2 linked regions of the Caenorhabditis elegans genome follow. The protein of the gene in region 1 interacts with the protein of each later gene in a pairwise test. Each region holds a gene or a part of one and is shown on either strand. Other genes may lie near its edges. The genes, in order: dot-1.1 and zfp-1.

The links.
Region 2: the proteins of dot-1.1 (region 1) and zfp-1 interact in binary tests that used the Caenorhabditis elegans proteins (3 or more experiments, as listed by UniProt).

The regions. Positions count from the first base shown.
Region 1 is NC_003279.8:2,397,502-2,404,791, forward strand, and holds the start of dot-1.1 (Histone-lysine N-methyltransferase, H3 lysine-79 specific), read right to left. Parts: upstream 3,992-7,290; 5' UTR 3,988-3,991; coding exon 3,957-3,987; intron 3,908-3,956; coding exon 3,709-3,907; intron 3,638-3,708; coding exon 3,508-3,637; intron 3,268-3,507; coding exon 3,115-3,267; intron 1,890-3,114; coding exon 1,681-1,889; intron 435-1,680; coding exon 228-434; intron 179-227; coding exon 135-178; intron 1-134. Other genes in the region: zwl-1 (Protein zwilch homolog), read left to right, coding at 4,734-4,823, 5,515-5,794, 5,844-5,937, 7,144-7,290. UniProt on the Caenorhabditis elegans protein: Histone methyltransferase, which in complex with zfp-1, methylates 'Lys-79' of histone H3 to activate transcription.
Region 2 is NC_003281.10:8,795,974-8,803,230, forward strand, and holds the start of zfp-1 (Zinc finger protein zfp-1), read left to right. Parts: upstream 1-2,424; 5' UTR 2,425-2,491; intron 2,492-2,559; 5' UTR 2,560-2,581; coding exon 2,582-2,690; intron 2,691-2,885; coding exon 2,886-3,141; intron 3,142-3,421; coding exon 3,422-3,512; intron 3,513-3,559; exon of another isoform or gene 3,560-3,561; coding exon 3,562-3,672; intron 3,673-4,512; coding exon of another isoform or gene 4,513-4,728; intron 4,729-6,851; coding exon 6,852-7,257. Other genes in the region: F54F2.6 (uncharacterized protein), read right to left, coding at 4,513-4,728. UniProt on the Caenorhabditis elegans protein: Recruits the histone methyltransferase dot-1.1 to chromatin to methylate 'Lys-79' of histone H3 and activate transcription. Recognizes and binds histone H3 methylated at 'Lys-4' (H3K4me) at the promoters of target genes.

The sequences.
Region 1 (7,290 bases):
ACTTTATTTTTAAAAATTGAATTTTTATTCATTTTATGAAGTTTTTTTCGCCGATTTTTCGATTTTCTCTGTTTTTTCTTCAATTTTTCACTGAAATTCCTCCGCATTTCTCAATTTTCCATTTCCAAACATACCACTTGTTGAGCGGAATGTAATCTCCTTTTTATTGGTTCCAAGCCTGCAAAAAATCCATTTTTTCACTGAAAATTCCCATAAAAAATCCCTACTCTTTCGTCGTAACAATTCGAGTGCCGTGCTTCAAGTCCTGGAGCAGCTCAGTATTAATTCGGAGCATCAGCGCGGCGTCAAACGCGAAATTGTTGATGAAAATGACGGTAGCCTCCTCACAAATTAGTTGTTTGAATTTCGGATTCAAAAAATCGCCTTGAATATGCTCGAATTTTCCGTGATTTTTTCCAAAATGGCTCATAAATCTGGAAAAAAACTGACTTTTTTCTGGATTTTGACAGTTTTTTTTTGTGAAAAATTGGAAAATTCAGCGTTTTTTTCAACAAATTGACACTGAAAACTTGAAAAATGCTAAATTTTGGCCAAAAAATGGCTTCCAAAATCAATTTTTGAATAAAAATTGTTGCAAATATTCTTTAAAAAGCGGTTAAAAAACTTTGTAAATCTGGAAAACACTTATTTTTGCTAAATTTTAACAGTTTTCGCAATAAATTAGGCATTTTTCCGGTGTTTTGACGGAAATTTCAAACCTTTTTCGAGTTTTTCAAACAATTTTAACACAAATATTGGAATTACCAGTTAATTTTCCGGTTTTAGGCAAAATAATTAATTAATTAATTAAATAACGTTTCAGAGAACGTAAAAAACTGAATTTTTTACTCAAAAATCGATTTTGGAAGCCATTTTTTTTGTCAAAAATTAGCATTTTTCCTTTATTATATAAAAAAGGGCTAGTTTTTAACAAAATATTGGCTTCCAAAATCGATTTTTGAGTAAAAATTCAATTTTATACGCTCTCTGAAACGTTATTTTTCCAAGTCTTTTATTTTTTCGGTTAAAATCAAAAAATTACATGGTAATTTCAATTTTTTCAGTGTCAAATTGTTGTAAAAATTTTAAAAAGCGGTTAAAAACTTCGTAAATCTGGAAAAACCTATTTTTGCTAAATTTTTTCGCAGGTTTCGCAATAAATTAGGCTTTTTTTGTGTTTTGGCGGGAATTTAAAACTTTTTTCGAGTTTTTTAAACAATTTTAACACAAAAATTGAAATTACCAGTTAATTTGCTGATTTTGAGCGAAATAATTAATTAATTAAATAAATAACGTTTCAGAGATCGTATAAAACCGAATTTTACTCAAAAATCGGTTTTTGAAGTCATTTTTTGTCAAAAATTAGCATTTTTTATGAAATAGAGGGGATTTCTCTTTTATTTTATGAAAAAATGCTCAATTTTGGCCAAAAATGGCTTCCAAAATCGATTTTTGAGTAAAAAGTCAGTTTTCTACGTTCTCTGAAACGTTATTACTTCAACTACTAAATTATTTCGCTTAAAATCAGAAAATTACCAGGTAAATTCAATTTTAATGTCAAAATTGTTGAAAAAACACGAAAAATTTAAAAATTCTGCCAAAACACCGAAAAAACCCGATTTTTCCAATTTTTCAGTATCAAATTGCTTTTTTTCGCAAAAAAAAGGGCATATTTCATACTTTTTAAAATAACCGGCAAGATCTTGTGCAAAATTCGAAGGAACTTGCGAAAGCTCAATTCCAACGGATTTTTTGCATTTCGCGTAGGCAGCCGTCAGGCATACGAGCTGACCGATTCCACTGCCTAAATCAACGAAAACGTCCTGTGGTCCAATGTTGAGCTCATCGATTATGCTGATCAATTGTTCGGGATTTGTTTCTCCATAAGTCTGAAAATTAATGGGATTTTTGACATTTTTCATCGTTTTCAGGCCGATTTTTGATTAAAAATAGGGATTTTCAGGATAATTTATAGGGAAAATTAATTTATTTAATCAAAAAATAAATGAATTGGATTTTCTATGTTTTTTTGGCATTTTTTGACATTTTTCATCGTTTTCAGGCCGATTTTTGATTAAAAATAGGGATTTTCAGGATAATTTATAGGGAAAATTAGTTTTTTTTAATCAAAAAATAAATAAATTGGATTTTATAGGTTTTTTTGGCGTTTTTTGACATTTTTCATCGTTTTCAGGCCGATTTTTGGTTAAAAACAGGGTTTTTCTGGGTAATTTATAGGGAAAATTAATTTATTTAATCAAAAATAAATAAATTGGATTTTCTATGTTTTTTTGGCATTTTTTGACATTTTTCATCGTTTTCAGGCCGATTTTTGATTAAAAATAGGGATTTTCAGGATAATTTATAGGGAAAATTAGTTTTTTTTAATCAAAAAATAAATAAATTGGATTTTATAGGTTTTTTTGGCGTTTTTTGACATTTTTCATCGTTTTCAGGCCAATTTTTCATTAAAAACAGGGATTTTCTGGGTAATTTATAATCAAAAAAATCGTTTTTCTTGATTTTTTCGCCAAAAAAAGCTCAAATAAATGTTAAAATATCGATTTTTAGGCTAATTTTAGAAGGAAAAGCGTCTGAAAATGTGAAAAAATAGATTGATTCGGCACTTTTCAATTTTTTTCTGCAAAATTGAAATATTTATATAATTTTTTAAGGTGAAGTGAGATTTTTCTGTCTTTTTGGGCGAAAAAATCTTTGAAAAGACGATTTTCCGCGAAATTTCTGGCTTTTTTCGATAAAAATATGGATTTTCCATGATTTTTTGAGTCAAAATCTCGAAATTAATCGCGTTTAGGCCGATTTTATGCAGAATTATGGGATTTTTTCGATAAAAATATGGATTTTCGGGCTGATTTTTGAGTAATAATCCCGAAACTAATCGTTTTCAAGCCGATTTTTAGCGAAATTATTGACTTTTTTTCGATAAAAATAGGATTTTTGATGAATTTTTAAGTTAAAATGCCTAAATTATTTGGCTTTTAGAAAATATAAATTTTCAGGCTTATTTCTAAGGAAAAACCGATTTTTGAATAAAAATCCCGAAACTATCAGCTTTTTTCCATAAAATATGAATTTTCCAGGAAAACGCCTCACCTCGGACGTGAAACTTTTGTAATGTTGATTGAGATCTGCTGGCCGTGGAACTGCACACTCGTAGGCGTACGTTGTGATGGCTTTTGCCACTTCTGCCGAGCAATTTGGCTCTCCCCACTCTTTCAGCGTATCTGTGTTGTACGACCCGCTCCACTGAAATTAAATAGTTAATTAATTAATTTTTGCAAATTTTGCGGATTTTGGTTTAAAAAAATCCAAGAAAAGGAAGAAAAAACACGAATTTTTCATTTTTATTCGATTTTTTCCGCCTTTTTTGGATTTTATAAACGCCAAAAAAAAGCTATTTTTTCCGGTTTTTTTGGATTTTTAAACGCCAAAAAAAAGTTATTTTTTCCGCCTTTTTTGGATTTTATAAACGCCAAAAAAGCTCACATTCGAAGCAAATGGCTTGGCGACACGATTAAAACTCTTCGTCAGAGCCGCAATTTCACTAATTGACGGAGTATTTTGGTCCCAGCCCTTCGGGAAAGCGACCACCAATTGTTTAACTAGGGAGCACACGCTGAAAATGGAAAAATGATCAGAAATTAATTATATATATATATATATATTTATAAATCGATTTTTTCTCACCCTTTAATCATTTGAAAGACAACGGGATACATGTGAGCTCTATTACCCGGCAGACGAAGCGTCTTTCCTTGATAAAAAATCGAGTGAAGCACTAATAATTCGCCGTTTCCTACGTCGACTACGTCTACCGAAGAACTTCTCCGTTCTTCTTTGATTCTCATTGCAGCAGCCGGCTCTTCCGCTGTCCTTGATGGTGATTCTGCAATTTTTCTTTGATTTTTTTGAATTTTTTATCTTAATTTTCTCACCATCCCTCGCGCCGGCGTCTGCCTCCGACATCCTGCTGAAAAATGGATTTTTTAAAAATTATAATGTGTTATTAATTAATTTTCATTAATTTCTTTGATTTTAAAACAAAAATTGAGAAAAAATCCAATCAGAAAGTCTTTTTTATTGGAAAAATTGGTGGGTCGATAAGGAGTGCAGTGGGGCGCGCTTGCAGAGTACGCAAAAGTACGTGGAAGTGTTTGCACAGGAAGTGCACTTAAGTGGCGCGAAAACAAAACAATTTACTTTATTTTTCTCATTTTTTCACAGATTTTCTTAATTTTTTGGGTTTTTTTATTCGGAAAAAAAGAGAAAAATGCAAGATAAATGTAAATTTTTCATTAAAAAATCACTAAAAACGGATAAAACTGTAAAATTATGAGTTCCGACGACAACAAGCCGGAAATTAAATTGTTATTAATTTATTTTATTTTTCTCCTTATTTCACTGATTTTCTTCATTATTTGTGTATTTTCATCGCAAAAAGAGAGAAAAATGCAAGATAAATGTGAATTTTTCATTAAAAAATCACTGAAAATAGCTAATTTCCGGCTTGTTGTCGTCGGAACTCATAATATTACAGTTTTACCCATTTTCAGTGATTTTTCAATGAAAAATTCACATTTATCTCGCATTTTTCTCTCTTTTTGCCGATGAAAATACACAAATAATGAAGAAAATCAGTGAAAAAATGTTTTTTTTCACGTTTTTTCAGAAAATTCTCTTCTTTTTTTTTTCAAAATTTCATTTCCCAGAAAATGCCACTCACCATCGAGCAGCTCAAGCAATATAATGAAAAAATGGCCGCAAAAGGCGAAGAGGACGACGCCCCGGCACCGGTTCTCCTGGTAATTTTCCCCCAAAATTCTAGAATTCTTCGTTTGAAGGGGGAGTGGGGTTTGTGGGTATTTTGCTTAAATAGACTAAAACTGGTCCAAAACCACCGAATTTCATAACGAGACTTCACAAAAAATTTCCAAAACATTTTTATGGCGGGCCAAAATTTCGAAAAAAGAGCCAAATTTTGCTAAAATCCGAAATTTCGCATACTTTTCTTTGTCTCACAGCCGCTTGATTTTAGTTTTTCTGAAATTATCACCCTTTAATTCTTCTTTTGGTAATTTATGTCGCGGAAATTCGTTGATTGAGAAAACTTTTAGGCCGATAGGCATCCAAAAATGATCAAAATTGGATGCCTACTCAACTTTTAAGCCTATCGGCTTAAAAGTTGTCTCAATCAACGAATTTTCGCGAGATAAATTACCAAAATAAGGATTAAAGGGTGATAACTTTAGAAAAATTAAAATTCAGCGGTTGTGACAAAGAAAAGTGTGCGAAATTTCAGATTTTAGCAAAATTTGGCTTTATTTTTTCGAAATTTTATTAACCCGCCATAAAAAAGTTTTGGAAATTTTTTGTGAAGTCTCATTATGAAATTCGGTGGTTTTGGTCCAGTTTTAGTCTATTTGAGTAAAATACCCACAAACTCTACTCCCCCTTTAACTCAAATTTTAAAATTTCAAAATCTAAATTTTTCAGCTCGACAAGTACCGTGTCCGCGTGCTCCCGCTCACGTCGATTCCCTTCGTGATGAATCATTCGAGCGTTTCCCAGCTTTCTCTGAGCTCTGAAGATGTTCTTGTCGTTGATTTTCCATCCAAGGGAACAGGATCAGGAGCAGGAAAAGCGGAGAAAAAGATGATTTTCAAAAAGAAAATTGAGCCAATGGAAGATAGTTTTGAGGATAAAGAAAATGTGAATGAAGGTGGACCACTTATGACGTCATTTCTCACTTTGGAAAAATTGAGAAAAGGAATGGGTAGGTTGAAAATGCTGTTTTTATGCTGAAAAACCCCCAGATTTTACAGTTGGCGACGTGGAAATCATTGGATACGAGTGTGAAACCAGCTTCTTTGATGCAAATCCAATTCCACTCTCGGACGGGGTGTCTCTTCAGAGATAGTAATAAATTTATGTTTTCTGGAGTAGCGCCAGCGGAGAAATTGCTTTGAAACATTCCTATGAGGTCACAAGGACCGAATATCATGATAAAAAAATTCAAAAAAATTTTCTAGATTTTATATGATTTTTTGAAAATTGAAAAAATCTCAGTTTTCCCCCTAATTCCGCTTTGAATTTCCGCCAATTGGATTCGTTCGGTGGAGCGCACTTGCATTATTTTTATTTATTTATTTTATTTATTCTCGTTATTTCACCGATTTTCTTCATTTTCTATGTTTGTTCCTCGGAAAATGAAAGAAATAAACAAGAAAAATGCAAAATTTTTATTAAAAAGTAACTGAAAATGCATAAAACTCTGAAAATATGCGATCCGACGACGACAAGCCTGAAACTAGTATATTTCACAGTTTTACTCATTTTCAATTACTTTTTAACAAACATTTTGCATTTGTCTTGTTCATTTCTTCCATTTTCCGAGGAAAAAACATAGAAAATGAAGAAAATCGGTCAAATAACGAGAATAAATAAAGTTAATTAATAAAAATAATGCAAGTGCGCTCCACCGAACAAATCCAATTGGCGGAAATTCGAACTGAGATTTTTGCAATTTTCAAAAAAAAATCATATAAAATCTAGAAAATTTTTTTGCATTTTTTAATCATATATATATCATGATAAAAAAATTTTTCTAAATTTTATATGATTTTTTTTTGAAAATTGCAAAAATCTCAGTTTTCCGCCAATTGGATTCGTTCGGTGGAGCGCGCTTGCATTATTTTTTTTTCTCAATTTTTCACTGATTTTCTTCATTATCTGTGTATTTTCATTGAAAAAAGAGAGAAAAATGCAAGATAAATGTGAATTTTTCATTAAAAAATCACTGAAACTGCGTAAAACTGTGAAATAGGCTAATTTTCGGCTCTGTACCCATTTTCAGTGATTTTTTTAATGAACAATTTGCATTTTTCTCTCTTTTTCCAATGAGAATGCACAAATAATGAAAAAAAAATGAGAAAAATGAGAAAAATAATGCAAGCGCGCTCCACCGAAAGAATCCAATTCGCGAAAATTCTAATAGGAATTTTTTGGGAAAACTGCGATTTTTTCAATTTTCAAAAAAAAAATCATATAAAATCAGGAAAATTTTGGGCGCACTTCACCTTTAACTAATTAAATATTCACCAAAAAAAATTCGAAAAAATTCAGCATCCGCCTCAACTGCTCCGAGCATTTTTCGCCGTCAATCTCGACACTGCCCGTGTGGATCTCCACGACCAGCTCGAAATTCCCATCGATTTGCTGGCTCGCCGCCGGCCGCACCAATCGAAACGTGCAATTCGCCGCGGCGACCCG
Region 2 (7,257 bases), on another chromosome or scaffold:
GGTCTGCTGCATCCCGTCTTCGTCCTCGTCCTCCTCTTCTCCTCTCTGTTCTGTTCTTTTTGCCTCGTCGCGTGTATGTATGCATTCAGCAGTCAGTCTGCATCTATCCATACTCTCAACCACAGCTGGGACACACTCAATCAAAAGTTACACTTGTTTTTCGCCTCTCCATCTACTTCTCGCTTTTCCCAGTCAAGTCTTGTTTTTCCTTCTGTTTTTCCACTTTTTTCCTTCCACGGACGTCGTCGTCATTCTCATTTCTCGTTTTGTCGATGTTGTTCGAGGCTTTATTCGGTCTAAATCCGATCGATATGTGATGGGTCAAGTGTCAGGTGCTCAGCGCCTTGTCGCCCCACAAAGAAAAAGACAAACCGTGTTGTCGCTGTCCGAGACATTTGTGCCGATTTTCTGTTCCTTTCGGCTACTATCGTCAGTCTGACGACCCAATTTTTTCTGGTCTCTGACACTTATTGTCATTATGAACACCTTTTAGATATCTTCAGTGAGGAAATTGTCGGAAAATTAATATAATTTCTATGGTTTTTCATTATTAATTTTTATAGTCAAATTTAGAAAACAAATCCTCGATAAAATTTATTTATTTATTTTTGATTCATCAAAAAAGAATTTTTAGCCTTGAAAAATGTTTAAAAACCAGTGAAGTTCTATTAATAAATTCTCTTGCTTCTTAAATTTTTTTTTTTAATTTTAAAAACTTTTTGTTAAAGATGTTAATTTTCTGTAGAAATTTTTATTTCACACAATAACCATTAGTTAAATTAAATTTATAACTGTTCCCCAAGTGGTTTTAAAAAATCAATAAAATGATTTCTTGACTATCGTAATCCTTCGTGACCCCTCTGTAGAGATTTTCTTGTGTTATGCAAGTACCCCATCGTAAATTTTCTTTTCTCGATACCCGAAGTATATCCGATCACATCTGTGTCTATGATGATACTGATTACTTTTCCATTTATATTTATCACCTTGACCGTTAATTTTCAATATTTAATTTTTCAATGACAATACAATGTTAATTTTTATAAGGTTATGTGGTAGAAAATGTTAGGCGAGGTTTAGAGAAAAATATAAAAGTTTATTAACTTTATTTCGCCCTTGGACGATTTTTTAAGCATCCAAATGACTCTTTTCATTTAAATTTTTATATTTTCCGATCCGTATATTATTTTCTTTTCAACTAATTTTATTAAAACATACGGCTATATGAAATAAAGCACTGGAACGCAGAAAGTTAGAGAGAAAAGGAGCAAAGCTTCCCCTTCTTGTTTGTATGTATGTGCTCCTTGTGTGCATGTGACATAGAAGAGCCGACGTCGCTGCGCCCCTGTGAGAATTCATGCATGCTTGGCACGATGCCAAGTTGTATGTGTCTATCTTCACCTCCTTTTTCTTCTTCTTCTCGATTGCTTCTCCCTCTCTTCCAAACGAGAACGTGATGTCGGTCTCTCCTACTGTAGGCTACTAGTTGTCTGTGTCTAATACTCTCTCATTGTCAAAGACTTCAAATCGGGAAGATTGTGATGGTGGTTTGGTGACGAGAGAGAGATAGAGAGAGAGAGAGAAAGACACTGACGATGTCGTCGTTATCAGTGTATTTCTTCTTCTTCCTTTTCTTCCATACACAATCTGTAATTCTCTGTCGTTCTCTCAATTTGATTATCACTATTAAATGTATATTCATTCATTCACGCCCATAACTTTTTTGACTTGACTGAATCGAAAATCGAATCGATGGCCGCTCCCCGATAATAAGAAGGAGAGAGAAAAGAGAGACGCTGCAAAAATTTTTTGTCTTTGAATGACCTCTATTCGTCGTATTGATTGACTGCTGCCGTTTGTCTTTTGTGACGAAATTTTGTACAGTTCCATTTTCTTTTATTTCAAAAATTGAGAGAAAAATATCTAATGCTCGGCGTTAAATTTTCAATGAAAAATTTGTTCACTCAAATTGGCCCGAAAAGTCCGAAATTCATAACGAAACTTTTCAATAATTCCTCAAACTTTTTTATAGCAGTTTTACCTAAAATTCTAAATTTTGAAGAATTAGCCTTTATGCAAAATTTTGAATGGCCATAAAAGATTTTTCAATGAATTTCTGAAGAGTTTCGTAATTTGATATTTGATATTTTCAAATGGATTTTTAGTGTATTTTATAAAGCAAAACATTCTTCAATTTATTTTGTTTTCCGAATCTAATATTTAAATATCTCTATGAAACTTTAATACTATTTTTGATACGCATTCAATTATAGATAATTGTTAAACGTTCTTTTTTCTCCGAAATTAGGTTATTTCTATTTGTTCTGTTTCTTTATTTGTCGCTCGGCCATAATAAATCAATAATTTACGGCAATATACCTCTAATCTCCCCTTTTCTGCGTAATTTTTACCGAATTTTTACAGCACATCACCATACAAATGAGCCACGCCTGACCTCTTGACCAGCTACAGTAACCCAAAAAAAATTATCGTAAGTTTTTTCGAATTTTTGTGGAAAATTTGTGAATTGTATTCTCAAATGGATAATTATTTTTACAGAGTCCCCCGAAATTGCTGAAAAATGAAGGAGATGGTAGGTGGATGCTGCGTTTGTGCAGATGAGAATGGTTGGACAGACAATCCATTGATCTATTGTGATGGAGAGAATTGTGAAGTTGCAGTACATCAGGGTGAGTAGAAGTTCACAGAAATTGAAAAATTTTAGTATTTTTCCCGATATTTCGAAAAAAAATCCAACGTTTCCAAGCATTGTTTGAAGTTTTGCTTTTTTCCATCTTATTAGATGAATTTGATTTTTTTTTTTCGATTTTCTCTCAAAAAACCAAATTTTCCGATTAGGCCCCACCGAATTTTTATCATTTCAGGATGTTATGGAATTCAAGAAGTACCCGAAGGCGAATGGTTTTGTGCAAAATGTACGAAAGCATCAGCTATGATGCCCGGCAGTATAAATGAGGCAACATTTTGTTGTCAATTGTGTCCGTTTGACTATGGAGCATTGAAAAAAACTGATCGAAACGGATGGGCTCATGTAATTTGTGCACTTTACATTCCAGAAGTGCGATTTGGGAACGTACATAGTATGGAACCAGTCATATTAAATGATGTACCAACTGATAAGTAAGTTTTTCTCAAGAATATGGGTAATTCAATATGAAAAATGTGTCTGATCAAGGGTGAATATTTTTTGAGTTTTCGACTTTCGATTTTTTGACTCTCTGGAAAATCTCAAATTTTAAAAATTTCCGGTACATTTCTGAACCGAAATTTTTTTTCCAGTTTTTCGATTTTTCGACTTTCAAAAAAAAAACAACAACAAAAAATCTAAACATTTTAAACTCTTTCTTTGAAAAAATCTTGAAGTTTTATTACTATCTCGATCAATTTATATATTTTATAGATTCAATAAACTGTGCTACATCTGCAATGAAGAACGTCCAAATGATGCGAAAAAAGGTGCATGTATGTCGTGTAACAAGTCGACGTGCAAGGTATTTTTATTTTTCTTTAAATTTCTTGTAATTTAAACGAAATTTTCAGAGGAGCTTTCACGTAACCTGTGCTCAGCGGAAAGGACTTTTATGTGAAGAAGGGGCAATAAGTCGGAATGTCAAGTATTGTGGTTATTGTGAAAATCATTTGAAGAAAGCGGTATGTTTATTGAAGATTTATGCGCTAAAAATTGAGAAAAAAGTATTAAAATCGATTTCTTAATATTTTAAGAAAATCAGGCCAGATTATCACTTGGTTTTTCATAGAAGTGAAAATAAAAATAGAACTACAGTACCCATCAATTTCAAATATTTAATCCCTAGTCATACTGGTGCTGTGAAGGTCCGATGCTTGATAGACCAGGTGGATAGACACCTGTCTCTTGAAAAACTAGAGATTGTACGGAGTATTAGAGATTCAGAGAAGTAAAAATATGAATACAATCGTGTGTGCCCGCTTCTTCTCTGCATCTCTTCTCAGGATACTCTATTTCTGAGTCACAGCATTGGGACCCTGGAATAGCAACACAGCCATTGCGCTTCACTCTTAGAGTGAAAGAGATAGAGATGGAGAAAGAGACGTCCTCCGTCCTGTTTTCATATCTGCGTCTAAAATCTCTTTATCCTGAGAAAAAGAAACCGAAAGAGAGGTTGAGAGAGAGAGGGAGACATTGTCGAAGGAGGTCCGCGTGCTTCCACATACACATACACACACCATCCATTCAACACAACACACTTGAGAAGATGGAATAGACGAGAGAAGAGAGTACAGACGTTTAGACGAAATGAAATGGGTTGGGCCAACGGCTGGCTGGATGGATGGCTGACTGAGTGTGACAACGACAAATAGTGCTCGGGGGGGGGGGGGGCACTGAGAGAGATAGACGAAGAACTCGGAGAGACATAGACACAAAAAGGAACAAATTGCTGTCGGGCCAAGCGAGTTTGGAAGAGAAAGAGACGTGCATAGAGTGTCTCTCTCTCTCTCAATTTCATAAGCTTAGATGATTCTCTGCGTCTGCTCTTCGCCGCCCCTTCTGGACTTCTTTTTCTCGGGTGGCCCCCGGCGGCCGTTGTTTCGTCTGCGCTTCTTATTTTCCTCTTTATCGTCATCGTCGTATTCCTCGCTTTGTCCTGCTTTTTCGTTTTCTCCGTCCGTACGCACACATACATACACACGCACATAGTGAGGCAACATCATTCTCTTGTGCTTCATTTGGTTCTTCTTCGACGAATACTCGATAGATTTGAATATAGTCGTCGCCACGTCATACTCTACATTTTCCTGCTACATCATCCTTGCATCTCCCCACTTTCTCACTTGTTACGGTTTTTGCTTAACTCTCTACGTCTCTACTCACTCTCTCACCTACTTTCCTCTTCTCGTTGTGTTTGATGTCACCTTTCTCATCGTCTTCCGTCAATGGAGTTTTTTTGTCGCCAAAGAGAGACATTCACTCATTTTCTCTTCCGTCTCCCTGAAGTAGTTCTATGTTCTTTTTTTTTTTTTTCTAGACTTTGTCATTTAACATTTTTGTTTTACATTTTGGTACATTCACAGAATTATTTCTAAATCTAAATTAAACTTTTGATCTTGAAAGTAGGCCTATCATATAGGCCTCACCGCCTGCCTGCCTCACCTTAAGACGATCTTCGCCTGTTTCCAACTAAGTTGAATGTCTTGATTGTTCTCGGGGGTTGTCAAATTTTTGATGTTATTCTAATTCACCTAATTTAAATTAAACGGTAACAAATATCATAAAACCCTTTAGTTTTTTTTGAAAAAGTCTAATAATCTTTATTAGTTCTTTTTACTAATGAGGACGCTGCAAATTTTTGTTTTTTTTTTCAAAATTCAGCACAAACTTTTCCAAAACACTGAGCAATGTTTTGTTCCGTCTCTTTTCAATATCTAAGTCTCCCTTTAGCTGGTCTCTACACTTCTCCGAATATCTTCAACTTCTAAGTCTATCAATCATGGGATCCTTCATTGTTGTCTTACTTCCGCGCACCTCTCAACCCGGTAGACATTTTTGTATCGTACTGATCAAATGCAGGCAAAGGAGGAGAAGTGGGCGCCCAGGCGCTGGGTCGACCGGCGGTGGCCATTGTCGTCGCGTCGTCGTTGATGTCCTTCGCAGGATCGTCGCCGATTCGATTCGTTTTCTCTCTCCACCTCCTCCTCCGCACAGGCACACACACACACACAAGTTTTCGTTTTTTCGGAGTGCTGGTAGTGGTTTTACTCGCTTCCTATCCTTCACTTGTTACCCCTGTCGCCTCTGTTGATTGCACTCCCTTCGTTTTTCCCGTTGCAATCATCCGATCGGAGGACTCTTCGATGTTTGTCTGCATGTCTGATCACTCTTCCGATCAAATGATGCCTTAGGCATCCTTGTCGTGTCGCCGCGCTCTCACTTGTTTCCACCCTCTTTCTATTGCCGTGTCGATTCGATGACTGGTGAATGATCGGTGTCCTCTGCCTGGCCCCGAGACGGCGATGCTGTGGCTGCGACTGCTGCTGTGTGTTTCTCATTTTTGTGACTGAAGGCTTTGTGTGTGTACGTGTCTCTACGCGCATAGATGTGTGTATGTCTCCAAAGCAGCAAAATGCTTAAGACTCTGCGTCTCTTTTGCGCAATCGAGACGAAGAAACCTTGGAGAATCAGACGACGATAAGGAATGAGGATATGAAGAGAGAAAGACAGTTAGAAGAAGAGAGAGTGACGTGCACAATGAGAGAAAGAGAGAAACATTCAATCAGCCTGTGGAGGGTGGCTGGTGGTCGGTCATACACTCTCATACGCATAGTCATTCACAACATTGGGCGCACGGTTTTGTTGGCTTGCTGCCAATAATAACTTTAGTGAAAGAGATGTAGAGAAGAGAAGAATAGAAATCGCCCGATTTTGTCGTTTTTCAAAGTTGATTTCTTATCATTTTACTTTGTCTGTCTTATCGTTTACAGGGCTTCCCAGTATTTTCACAATTTCTTGAATTTATCTTGGTTCAGGTGTGGAAGTTTATGTATCTTTTTTCATTTCGTTCCGATTATCTCTTTTTTCATCAAAAGTGTCTTCTCGTTTTCTCTTTGCTTCTTCTCCTTGCCGACGAAGAAAGAAGAATAAGAAGATGATGAAAAACATAAAAAAGTGGGTCATTGTTAATCGTCTGCGTCTCTTCCGTTTTGTACTCTCTTATACTCTATGTCTTCGGTTTCTCTGCGCAAAATAAGAATCGTGAGCATATCCTCTTGCCAAACTTTAAACATTTTAAAAAGCGTTTTGAAATTTAAACTTTATAATTGATTTCAAAATTAATATTTCTTAAAATTTTCAGATAAACGATCCTGCAATCAAAGTCATCCCAGCTTGTCCACCTGTTCAACGGCTCTCCAAAGAGCAGGATAAAAAGAAAACAGTATTGCTGACATCACTGCCCCTACCACCGCCGGCACCCAGGTTGCATATGCTTGCGGACCCTCTTCCTATCAAGTCTAACAAAGTGAACAACGTACTCGGGCTCGGTTCAGCAATCAACGCGGTCTCCCTCGAAGAAAGGCCTGCATCTGGATCTACGGTTAATTCGGGGATCTTTGTACCCCCACCAACTGCCTTCTCACCTCCTTTGACTACGTCAAGTAGATCATCTGTGGCTCAGGATCCATCGCCTCCATTGACAATTAACAAGAATTCACTATCGTCGTCTGGTCCGTTGATTCCATCGACGGCACACTTATCAGCGA